Mus musculus: one gene and its partner. The protein of the gene in region 1 interacts with the protein of each later gene in a biochemical or structural test. Links are inferred from orthologs where the notes say so. Each region holds a gene or a part of one and is shown on either strand. Other genes may lie near its edges. The genes, in order: Ehd1 and Snap29.

The links.
Region 2: the proteins of Ehd1 (region 1) and Snap29 form a complex in vitro, tested with the Homo sapiens proteins (2 studies listed by BioGRID). The link is inferred for Mus musculus from reciprocal best matches to the Homo sapiens genes EHD1 and SNAP29.

What each region holds. Positions count from the first base shown.
Region 1 is NC_000085.6:6,273,993-6,280,774, forward strand, and holds the start of Ehd1 (EH domain-containing protein 1), read left to right. Parts: upstream 1-2,903; 5' UTR 2,904-2,982; coding exon 2,983-3,386; intron 3,387-6,782. UniProt on the Homo sapiens protein: ATP- and membrane-binding protein that controls membrane reorganization/tubulation upon ATP hydrolysis. In vitro causes vesiculation of endocytic membranes. Acts in early endocytic membrane fusion and membrane trafficking of recycling endosomes.
Region 2 is NC_000082.6:17,414,301-17,420,522, forward strand, and holds part of Snap29 (synaptosomal-associated protein 29), read left to right. Parts: intron 1-4,963; coding exon 4,964-5,160; intron 5,161-6,222. UniProt on the Homo sapiens protein: SNAREs, soluble N-ethylmaleimide-sensitive factor-attachment protein receptors, are essential proteins for fusion of cellular membranes.

The DNA of each region.
Region 1 (6,782 bases):
GAAGTAGGGAATTAATTTCTGGGCCCCTTGAGCCTCAGTGAGGGAGGGAAAGAGGAAGGGTGAGGAGCCCTTCTGGCCCTCTCAGTTCCTTGGACAAAGCTGAGTGGACGCACACATCTCATCTCATTTATAAATAACCCAGGGACATTTTGTTTTCTGTTTTCTGGGGCTGGGTTTTCTCAGCACACAGGACTCTGGGGAGACGTGAAGACCATGACCGGTCAGTCTGAGTGTTGCTGGAGACACAGTATCATGTAGTTATCCAGACGGCTAAACAACCACCTCATTTAGGATCCTCTGCCTCCGGCTCTTCTCTGAACCAGCCCTGAAATTACATCTCCGGGGCGGACCCTCATCTAGGCTGCGTAGGAGGCAGAAATCATTTAGCGTCCAAGGCTGGCCAAGGTCTGGACTGGGCTTGCCTGAGGCTCCTGTCACGAGTTGGCACACAGCTGATGGTCACAGCCCCTGTCCAAGAGCTTCTTCCTAAAAATGGGGGCCCGTGACTTCTGCGCCTTATTGTGATGGATGGAAAGAAGGCTAATGAGATGAGGGTTGTCGGGACAGCTCAGTAGGACAACACACTTGTCAGGGCTGTTGATCCAGGGCCCACATGGTAGAAGGAGAGAGTTGTAGAGGAACAGCTATGAAGCATATGCATGCCTTGCCTGTTAACTAAAACGCCTATGGCCTATGGCTTAAGAAGGAAATAGAAGGTGGAACATATGGAGGAGAAAGAATTCTGAGAGAGGAGGAGGTGGGAGATTTGCCAGGAAGATGTAAGGAGCATGCTACCTGAGCACAGGTAACCAGCCAAGGCAGAATGTAGGTTACTATAAATGGGTTCTATTTAGCTATGATCTAGTCAGAGAAGAGCCTAGCTTATGGCCTAGATCTTTGTAAATACATTATTAGTCTGAGTCTTATTCCTGGGAGCATGGGGCTGGGAGGAAGAATCAAAGTCTAGCCTCAACAGGGAACTCCAGAAAGTTGTCTTCTGACTTGTATCATGGCACACTCAACCCCTCCACCATGGTACACTTGACTCCCCCATGGCACACTCACCCCCTCCACCATGGTACACTTGACTCCCCCATGGCACACTCATCCCCCTCCCCCCCGTGGCACACTCACCCCCTCCACCAAAGTACACTTGCCTCCCCATGGCACACTCACCCCCCCATAGCATACTCACCCCCCCATAGCACACTCATCCCACCCCCCCATAGCACACTCACACCCCCATAGCACACTCACCAAATGGCACACTCACAATACCCCCCCCACCACACAAAAAAGGAGAAACTCCAGATCAAAGAAGAAGCCTGGCCCAGAGCCTGCAGGCAGGCTGGGATTTGCTTGTCTCTGGCAATGATCTCTGAACCTTCCCACCTTGCCTTCTCTGGATCCCACTTGACTGAGATCCCTCAATATACACACGGCTCTTTCTTCCTGTGAGATCCCACTGTTTTCTCCCCGCCTAACCCCACATAGGTGTCTAGCTCACAGGCTTCCAAATCAAAGTTTTCAAGTGGGATCCAAGGCTTTCAAGTTCCCATGATTTTCTGTTGGCTCTAGTGCTGTTGGGGATGGGCCCTACTGGCTTGTGCACGCTAAGCAAGTGCTTCTACCACTAAGCTATGAATTTAGCCTCATCGATAAATATTTTGTCTTTTTTTTTTTTTCTTTTAAGACAGCGTCTGTTGTCGAGGCTGGCCTCAAATCGATGGGTTCAAGTGATCCTCCAACCTTTCCAAACAGTTGAGACCACAACTGTGTGCTAAACAACTCCTCCGGTGCCTTTTAGACTTCTCCAATGGCCCTTAGATCCTCCTGCCACTTGGGTGACCTGATATTAGTTACCTAACAATCATAGTCCCCAAATCTCTGACATCACCCACTAGACACCAGCAGACACAGCCAAGGGGGCTTAGGTGTGGCCAGGTATGATGGTGGGGAACAGCTACCAACTGGAAACAGGTTGGGACTCAGAACGGAACAAGAGATGGTACTGGTGGTGTCCCTGACAGGAAAGCGGAAATTTTGGGGCTTTTAATTTCCCCTAAGTTCCCACAACATTTCATTGTTGCTCAACACTGCCCCTCTTCCTTACAAAGGGTATTTCCGATTTCACTTCCTCCAAACTCATCTAGCCAGAAAGCTGCAACTTTTTACCCCATTCCGCAGCTGGCACCGCCTTGGTGAAAACTCCCCGCTAGGTCACGTCAATTGTTTCCATTGCCGTGTCCCTCTCCCATCAGTCTGAGTGGAGTCCCAGCGCACTCTTCCTCCTTCCTTACCGATATTCCTCTTCCCGGTGTCCTGTACTCCCTCGGCTTTCCCTATTCCCGCTGTCCTGTCCCTCTCCAGAGTCGCTAAAAGACCAAAGGGTGAGGCTCCCGATGCTTTTGGGAGTTCCTAGCCAGCGGAAACACTGCAGTTGGGGAGCGCAGCTGAAGTACTTGGGGGTGTCCGGAAGCCCACACGTGCTAGATGGTGCTCAGACTTAGTACATCTCGACGCCAGACTCTGGCACCCGCGACCGCCACACTTCCACGAGCCATCCCTCGAGGGGCGGAGCAAAACAGGTGCGGTTGCCAAGGCACCGCAGCCACGAGCTCGCGATATTTGAAATCAGCTAATGGGAAGCAGAAGAGGACGTGGCACGCGAATGGGGCGGGGCCTGGAGGGCTCTTCCCCCGCCTCCTCTCGGGCCAGCCTCGAGGCGGCGGCCAGCGTGCGGGAACGCCGGGCTCCGGCTTATTATAAAGGGGCGGCTCGACGAGGTTCGCGCGACCCTCGGCAGAGGGCGCTGTCGTGGTCCTCACGCCGGCCCTCGAGCCTGCGCCTGCGCGGTGCGGGCAGCGCCCCGCCCCCTGCCCCTCTGCCCTCCGCCGGCCGGCCGGCCCCTCCTCGGCCGCGCGCCCCAGTCCCGCTCAGCCACCGCTCCGTCCTGTAGCAGCCAGCCCCGTCTCCGGCATCATGTTCAGCTGGGTGAGCAAGGATGCCCGCCGCAAGAAGGAGCCGGAGCTCTTCCAGACGGTGGCCGAGGGGCTGCGGCAGCTGTACGCGCAGAAGCTGCTGCCGCTGGAGGAGCACTATCGCTTCCACGAGTTCCACTCGCCCGCGCTGGAGGACGCTGACTTCGACAACAAGCCGATGGTGCTCCTGGTCGGCCAGTACAGCACCGGCAAGACCACCTTCATCCGCCACCTGATCGAGCAGGACTTCCCGGGGATGCGCATCGGGCCGGAGCCCACCACCGACTCCTTCATCGCGGTCATGCACGGCCCCACCGAGGGCGTGGTGCCCGGCAACGCGCTCGTCGTGGACCCGCGGCGCCCCTTCCGCAAGCTCAACGCCTTCGGCAACGCCTTCCTCAACAGGTACCCACCCCTTGCCCCCCAGCGCGAGGATACCAAAGGCCTCCGGAGCCATTGCCCCCAGCCGGCCTTTGTCTCCGAGAGCCCCCGCCAGACCCTAGGCGACCACTCCCAGGGACACCGGCTTTGCTGCGTCCCACTAACTACCCGAGAGAAGTTAGAGACTAGGCATCGTCCACTCTTCTGGCTTCTGTCATTCCCAGAACCTTCCAGGTTTTCAGTTTAACTCTCACATCCTCCTGCAGACCCCAGACCTACTTCCCACAGAGCGGGGGGCTGCTGTGAGAAGATGAACCATTGCTGTCCCCCCTTTCTTGTTCCTCATTCTGGAGGCACCCAGCTCATTCTCATGAATCCCCCTCCTCCTCTGGGGTCCGTTTTTAAAGTGTGTGTCCTGGGAAACCTCGAGACTTAGATGTTCCTTTTGCTAGTGTGTCACTCTCTGCGTCACATCTCCAGGGACCAGTGGTTTTGTGTAGGAAGGGCGCGGAGGCTATGCTTTGGTCTGCTGATTTGGGGGCAGCCCCCTTTGAAGGCAGGGGATGAAGGAGTCCCAACACCCCTCCTAAAAGCAGCACTTACGTGAATGCCAAACCAGCCAGGAGTACAGGAGACAACCCTGTCTCAAACACAACAAAACAAAAAAAGCTTAAGTCAGTGTTGCCTCAGGAGACTTCAGGGACTTCAGGGGGTGGTAACACTGTGGCTCCTGAAATGACCAGACCCATAGTCTAGGATAGATTGGATAGACTTCGTGTGTCTCCTGGAGTCTCAGCTTAACCAGTTCCCGGTGAGTTAGAGTCAGCCCCTCAGGATGCTATGAATGAATCACAGTGGCCTGCCTGAGGAGCTCTTAACACCCAGGATCTTTAAGGGCATTGGGGCATCCCAGACTCCTCCCACAGGAGGTATGACAGGACTCACAGACCCTGCCCTCTCTGCTCCCTCTTTCAAGGAGTGACTCTACATGCCTTTCGACTTCTGCATTCTGCCTAGGGGAACAGCCTTGGAAAGAATGTGAATCCTGCTTTCCAGGTCTCCGCCCTGTGTGAGCACATTCCTCTGTAGACACTGTCCGGCCCAACAGGGCGGGCCAGCTTGTTCTAGAGCAAGCTTGCTGCCAGGCCTGCCTCCTTTCAAGGAGCTGATCTTTAACGTCCTTTTGTCCCTTCTAGGCAATTTCAGCCTATCTTGTTTTATGATAATGGTGTGTGCTTGACAGCCTGGGTTGTATACTATGCTCAAGTCCCCTTAGCCTGGAGCCTTTGCCTAAGGATGTTTGAGCTTTGCCGCCCCTGTAGGTAGGCCATTGGCTCAGATTGCAGTTGGTGGGAGCCTTTGGTCTTGAGAGAAGTTTGGCTGCTGGGCTAAGGAGTTCGTTCATGCTTTAGGTCTCTGCCTCAGGAGAGACTGGAAGACTTGCTGTTCCAACTGCTGCTGCCTTCCTCTGTCTTCACCTCACTGTGAGGGCAGACCTCTTGTGAAATGAGGAACTTGGCACCTTCTCAGTTTCCCACCTGTGGAAATTCAGAACTTAAAGGGCTAGAGGACCGCCCACACCATCCCAGTAGCCCCCAGCTCACTCAGTAACTCATGAATCCTAGGTCCTGCTGAACTGTCAAGGTTAATAAGGCTGTGTACCCTGTACACTCACTACTACCTCTGTCCTCCCAAAAGAAACAACTTAGGAGGTCTGGCCTGGGGTACAGGGATCCAAGAACTATACATCCATTTCCTTCTTGCCACCACCAATTCCAGAGGGTCTCTAAATGCTGGTGAAGTCCAAGACCGGAGCTGTGTCAGGATGTGCCTCTGGCCAGGGAGGGCACAACAAAGGGGGCTTTTCTCTGGCTGATACAGCTTTTCCTGGAACTCTTAAAGGGACCCATTGAGTCATGAACTTGATTTATTAGCCCCCCCCCCCCAGGGCTGCTCAGAGATAGTGAGAGGAACAAATGGAGACAGGCATAAAGCAATCCCAAAAGGGGTTTGTGAACGCCCCTGCTTGCTTAGCTGGACCCACCCACTAGTCCTAAGGACTCAACTCCCCATCCCTGTTCCTAGGGAGACATCCTTACAGCCTCTTGCCTTTCTTGTGGTCCCCTTACCGGGCCTTGCGGAGTAGTGGGTTCTCATGGACCTGCAGATGTGCCTATGGGACCTCTTTGTGTCTGTTACTTCTCAGCGCCAGCTCCACTTCCACTCTGGCTTTCTTTCACTCTCTCTCCATTGAGTAGAGGATTTCTTCCCAGGCAAGGGGAATTGAGGTGTGGTGTGCAGTGACTTACAGCACTGGGCTCTGCTACACTTGGACACAGTGCTTTTTTTCCCTTTGGCCTGCTGTCCCCGGCCCATGGGGAGACTCACCATCATAACTTGGGGTGTGGAGCCACAGGAGACACTCACTTACTTGCTCCCCACTGGGGAAAGCCCAGTTTTAAGCCTGTATCTGGCAGACCTTGCGTCTGTATTTTCTTTGCTCAGAGAGCTTTTTAAAGGAGCCCTTTCTCTGTCCACTAAAGAACCCCACCCTTTACATCAGCTGATAGCTGCTCTGAGCTGTTCTGCTAAACTCCTAGCTCAACATGGAACTCTGATATGCAGCTAAGCCCTTACCCAGGGTTCACTAATATCCCTCTGTTGGCTTTCTCTTCCTAGGCTGGTTTTGACTTTGAAAGAGTGGTGTGTCTGTACCCCTTCCACAGCGCTGACTACTGCTGGCTCATTGCAGCTTCAAGCAGCTGGCTCCAGCAGCAGGGACTGTGGGCATGCTCAGTGGGAAGGTGAAGACCTGAGTTCAGAGTTCCAGCACCCTTTAAATATTGTACATACTGGAACTGTTTTTGCAAGCCTGTAATCCCAGCACAGGGGTTGGAGTAGGGTAGCAAAAAGAAGAGATCCCGGTACACCCTGGGGCCCACCAGCCAGTGAGCCTAGCTGAATCCGTGGGAGGTTCTGTCTAAGTGAGGTAGAGGAAGACACTTGAGGCTGTTCTCTAGCCCCCGTGTACCTCTGCCCACACACAGAAAGAGACCACGCTTCTTTTAGTGTGGGGGAGTTTAGCTAGATGGTTGGAGTTTCTTTTTTATCGATGTTGTTATTATTTTGCTTTGTTTCATTTTTCGAGGGTCTCTACATAACCCTGGCTGTCCTGGAACTCAACTATGTAGACCTGGCCAGCCTCACAGAGATCGCCTGCCTCTGCCTCCCTAGTTCTGGGATTAAAGGCATGCGCCGTCATGCCCACCTTTGTTACTGGTTTCTTTTACATTTATTTATTCTGTGCAAGCATAGTTGCTGCAGCACTTATGGTCAGCGGATGGTGTGGAGCAGCCTTCTCCCTCCACCGTGTGGCTCTGAACATTGAACTGAGGTCATAGGGCTCCGTGGCGAGTGTCC
Region 2 (6,222 bases), on another chromosome or scaffold:
AGGATGAGTCTCACCAAAGCTGTATACACTGTAATATACAAATCTCAAAATAGATTTAAGTACCATCAAGCTATCTGCATGGATTGTGTAGGGTGCAGAGACTAGATAAGGATGAAATTCTGCTCCTGTTTGAACGTGTGAAAGAAAGCTGTCTTTTTTATGAGTTGATTTTATTAATAACCAATTATAGTGAGTCTTCATGCCATGTGAAGGATGGCACAATGAATCTTCACCTGTCCTGTTTGATTCTCTTGAATTTTTCTAGTTCTTCAGGGGTCTCCCTCTGTCATATCTGATCCATATAACTCTGGAAAGGATCTAGAGCCTACTCTCCTTCCCTGTCAACACAAATGCAGAGCCTTCCTCCCAGAATAGTATGTCCTTGAGCCAGTAACTGGAAATCATTAAACATTTAGCTTGACTTCTCTCCCAGAGGAATAATAATATAACCACAAAAAGCAAAATCACACCCATTTTGATAATTAAAACAATTCAAGGCAAATAAAGCAAACTAAACAAATGTATGAGCCTATTTCCAGGCTCTCTCTTTATATAATCCTCAAGGCATATAAATTCCTACTGTCTGGTCCTCTGCTTCTGTCTAAGTCTATTCTTAGACTTCTAATCTTTTGTGTCAGGAATATTGAACCCAGAATTCCCATGGAGCCCATTGCTTGTTGGAGGCAGCAGCCTTTCTCTGCCTTCCTCCCTTTTGACAATCGGGGAATCTAGTATCCATGAGCTGAGGCTCCCTTGAGTTTCTTTGTTTAAGGTTACCACACTAGAGCTACCACATGACTCACTCCTCTTGCTGAGAAACCAATTTTCCCCTCTTCTTAGAACTGTATCATTGTGAGTTTGTGATCACTCTGAGAATTTCATGATGGCCAGGGCTACCCAGAGGAACTCAAAGAAACAAAAACAAAAAAAATAAAACTTATGCCAGGTGTGGTGGCACACGCCTTTAATCCCAGCACTCAGGAGGCAGAGGCAGGCAGATTTCTGAGTTTGAGGCCAGCCTGGTCTACAAAGTGAGTCCCAGGACAGCCAGGGCTACACAGAGAAACCCTGTCTTGAAAAACCAACCAAATCAATCAACCAATCAATCAATCAATCAATCAATCAAACTTAGGTGTCAGCTTTCTATTTCCTGCTTGTGGTCCACAATATGAACCCTCAGCTCCCTGTTCCTGCCATCATTATCTTACTGCTATGTCTCCCCATCATGATGGACTCTTATTACTCTGGAACCATAAACCCAAATAAACTTTCTTCTATACGTTGAAAAAAAAGTGGGCTGGGGAGATAACTCCGCAGGGAAATGCACTGGCCACACCCTGGCACCACCATGGAGATACAGGAGCCATGCTGTGGAAGCAGCTCATATGTACAACCAGTTCCTATCATAGGGGGTGTCTTAGTGTTTTCCTGCTGTGAACAGACACTACAACCAAGGCAACTCTTATAAAGGACATTTAATTGGGGCTAGCTTATAGGTTCAGACGTTCAGTCCATTATTATCAAAGTGGAATCATGGCATTGTCCAGGCAGACATGGGACTGGAGAAGCTGATAGTTCACCTCCTGTTCCAAAGGCAGGTAGGAGAAGACTGCTTCTAGGCAGCTAGGATAGAAGTCTTAAAAGCCCATGCCCACGATGACACACCTACTCCAACAGGGCTACCTGCTAATAGTGCCACTCCTTGGACCAAGCATATACAAACCATCACAGGGGGCAAGCTTTTTATGTTTGACCAGTTTGACTGTACTGGCCCACTCAGGACTTTCAGCTTCCTGGGCTTTGTGAGGAAGGCTGCCAGAGCTCTGACAACCCCCCAGGCATTGTGCAGCCAGGGAAAGGAGACTAGATATCCTTTTTGTTTTGTTTTTTACAAAGGTATTAAAAGCATACATTAGATAATAGCTTCTACAATAAGTGATGCTGGCGACACTGAATAAACATCTGCCCAAAACTGAAATTAGATTCCCATCTCTCACTCTGCACATGATCCAAACTGGGTCAGAAACCTTGATTTCATATTAATATGCTGGAGCTGCTTGAGGAAAACATTCCTAAATACATCTAGGAGCAAGAGACTTTTCTTAGTAGGAAATGTAAGGCTGGGAAGATGGCTTAGTGGTAAGTGACTACCTCACAAGCAGGAGGCTAGGGAGATGGCTCAGCTGGGGAAGTGACTACCACTCCCTGGGTCAAGCATATTCAAACCACCACACTGCTAGTCAATAAGAGGGTTAAGAAACTGCCCAGATGGTTCTCAAAGGAAGAAATGCAGGTAGATAATAAATATGTTTTAAAGTTCTAACATCTTAGACAGGCATGGTACCTTTAATCCCAACACCAAGAGGCAGAAGCAGGTGGATCTCTGAATCTGAGACCAGTCTGGTCTACATAGCCTGTTTCTAGGATAGCCAAGGCTACACAGTGAGATCCTGTCTCGAAAGAATAAAACAAAACAAAAAAACTCACAAAAAACAAAACTGGACTATGATGACACATGCTATCTTAGTCAGGGTTTTATTCTTGTGACCAGACACCGTTGACCAAGGCAATGCTTAAAAAGGAAAACATTTAATTGGGGTTGGTTACAGTATCAAAAGTTTAGTTTATTATTAGCAGAGATACCTGGCCTACACAGAGAAACCCTGTCTCAAAAAACAAAAAGAGAGAAAAAGAAAGGAAGAAGGTATGTAAGGAGGGAGGGAGGAAGGAAGGGAAGGAGAGAGAAAGGAAAGAGAGAGGAAAAGAAGACAAAATACAATAAATGCTAGCAAAGATGGTAAGAGAAAGAAACACTATTCACTGCAGTGAGAATATAACTGGTGTAGCCATTATGAGAACAGTGTGGAAATCCTCACAAAATCTAGAAATAGTGATCTAGCTATGTGCTCCTGGGTGTATACCCAAAGGATTCCATGTTTGTTCCTGTTCTTTCCACAATACCAAAGGCATGGAATTGACCTAAATGTCTATAGATAGGTGAGTAGAAGCTGGAGAGATGGCTTAATAGTTGTACTGGCTAGTTGTGTGTCAACTTGACACAGCTGGAGTTATCACAGAGAAAGGAGCTTCAGTTGAGGAAATGCCTCCATGAGATCCAACTGTAAGGCATTTTCTCAATTAGTGATCAAGGGGGAAAGGCCCCTTGTGGGTGGGACCATCTCTGGGCTGGTAGTCTTGGGTTCTATAAGAGAGCAGGCTGAGCAAGCCAGGGGAGGCAAGCCAGTAAAGAACATCCCTCCATGGCCTCTGTATCAGCTCCTGCTTCCTGACCTGTTTGAGTTCCAGTCCTGACTTCCTTTGGTGATAAACAGCAGCATGGAAGTGTAAGCCGAATAAACCCTTTCCTCCCCAACTTGCATCTTGGTCATGATGTTTGTGCAGGAATAGAAACCCTGACTAAGACAATAGTTAAGAACACTTTTTGCTCTTGTGAAGGACCCAGGTTCAGTTCCCAGCCTACATGGTGGTTCATAGCCATCCATAACTCCAGTTCCAGGGTATCCAGTGCCCTTCTTTGATCTCCATAGGCAGCAGGCACATAAGCAGCACACATATATCCATGAAGGCAGAACACTCATATACATAAAATAAATCTTTAAAAAATGTTAATGGACAAATGAATCATGAAAATGTGGTACATATACATAGTGGCATTTTATTAAACCATATAGAAATTATGAAATTTGTAGGAAGATATATGAAACTAGAAAATATTCCATTAAGTACTGTAGTCTAGGCTCAGAAAGCATCTCACATGTTCTCTCATGCAAATCATGGTTTCCTCTCACGCTCTCTTGTGCTCTTGCTCAGTAATTTGGCTAGGATTTTTGTTTTGTTTTTTGTTTGTTTTTGGTTTTGAGACAGGGTTTTATAAGTAGTCCAAGATGTCCTAGAACTCATTATGTATACCAAACTCAGGCTGGCTTCAAACTCATAAAGATTTGCTTGCCTCTGCCTCCTGAGTGCTGGGGCTGAAGGTGTGCACCACCATGCTAGACTTGAATCCTACTTTCTAACTATAAAACATGTCTATTTAAGTAGGTGTAAGTGTGGGTAGAGTCTGTGAAGCTTGAAAAAGACCCCTAAGATGGGAGGGGTACTTTAAGATAGGTGCGGAGGATCCATGACCATGTGATACATAAGTGGAAGGAGGAATACAGGGCCAGGGTCTGCAGTGATAGAGCAGGGACAGAGGAGAGCAGGGGAGCAAACCAAACGTCAATGTGAAATGGCATAAAGGGGCCAGCGGGCTGGATCAATTTGTACTGTCGACCCTAAAAACTTATGTTTGATCCTCAGCACCTACATGGTAAAAGGAGTGACGTCACCTCCCTTAAGTCGTCCTCTGATCTCCACATGTAACCACCAGCCCTCAAACAGAATAATAAATACATGATTTTAAACTTTTTTTTTTTTTGAGGCAAGGTCTCTCTATGTAGTCCTGAAGGCCTAGAAGTTTGGGGGAGCTGGTGGGAGGAAATGTTATAAGGAAGCCCATTACTTTGTAATATTCTAATATTCTAGAAAAGGATGGAAGCAGCAGCAGCCCTGTGGGAAACCAGATAAAGCACTAGCCTGGCCTAGAAGTTACACCACCAACCTGACTCTTCCCCCAAAGTCCCCAAGTGCTGGGACTAAAAGCATGGGCTGCCATTCCTATCTAGATGATTTTTTGAGACTGAGTCTCACCTGGTCCAGGCCTCCCTCAAAGTCACTATATGACATTAAATTAATCCTCTTGCCTCTGCCTCTCAAGTTGTGGGGTTACAGGTTTGTGTGCCCAGGCCTGGTTGATGGAGTGCTAAGGATCCATCCAGGATTTTGTGCAAACCAGATAAGCACTCTACCAATGGAGCTACGTTCCCAGCTCCAGACTTAAATATACTATGATTTTTGGAAATAGTGGAAATGGCATAATGCTACTGTCTCTTGCCTTCTGCAGGAGCTGGTCCGGCAGCGAGGAGTCCTAGAACACACAGAGAAGATGGTAGACAAGATGGATCAGGATTTGAAGATGAGCCAGAAACATATCAACAGCATTAAGAGTGTGTTTGGAGGATTTATCAACTACTTCAAATCCAAACCAGTAGAGCCTCCACCTGAGCAGAATGGCAGCATCGTCTCCCAGCCCAACAGCAGGTGAGTGCAGCGTCTGCATTGGATACATAAAACAGTAGAGACAGGCTGTGTGAAGGAGCCAAGGCTTTCAGACCTTGTCAGTGCTGTTAAGGTATCCTGGAACCTTGTGGGTTACTCATGGGAAGGGACCTACTCATGAGAAATCTTATACCCAACTGTTCATCTAATTATACCCTTATACCCAACTGATCATCTAATTCATGAAAAATACTCCACTCTTAGAAAGTTTAATCACTAAAAATGTGGTTCTTTTTACAGACTGTTTCTTTATCAAGTCATTCCAAAAGCCAGACATAGTGGGGCCTGTGTGTAATCTCACCTTGAAGAGACCTAAGGCAGGTGGATAGCAAGTTCAAGGCAAAGTCAGGCAATTAAGCAAAGCCTCATTTTAGGAAAAAAAGCATACTGATAAATAAGCCAGATGTGACAGTACATACTTGTGATCAGAGCAACTTAGGAAGATAAGGCAAGAAGACTAGATCTTAACACCAGCCGTGAGACCTGTCTCACAAAACACAACAAAACAAAGAAATCTATATGGCTGCGCTGGTGATATGGCTCCCCAGGCAAATGTGCCTGCCATCAAACCTGGTGACATGGTTGGAAACCCAGAATAAACTCCCAACACCTTTTCCTCTTATCCCACACATATTTACACACACAAATTAAATGTAATCTAATGTATCGTACATACATACAAACATGTACACATGTAGGCTAGGAGTGTGGTATATTAGTAGAAGGCTTGCCTAAATGTGAAGACCTAGATTCCATTCCCACCAGCACACAAAAATTAATCATACATACATGTTACACACATACATATATGAGTATGTAAAAATCTCATTTACATCTTCTCTATATCTAACCTAATCTGTCCATTAATTTATACTTTAAAATTATAGATTGTTTACCTCAAAATTTTTGAGCAGAAATACAATAAAATCATACAAAGGAACCTGGCAGGCTTCAGCACCCCGTGTTCAATTGTAAGGCAGGGCTAGGGAGATGGCCCAGCAGCTAAGGGCACTTGTTGCTCTTACAGAAGACCAGGGCACTCAG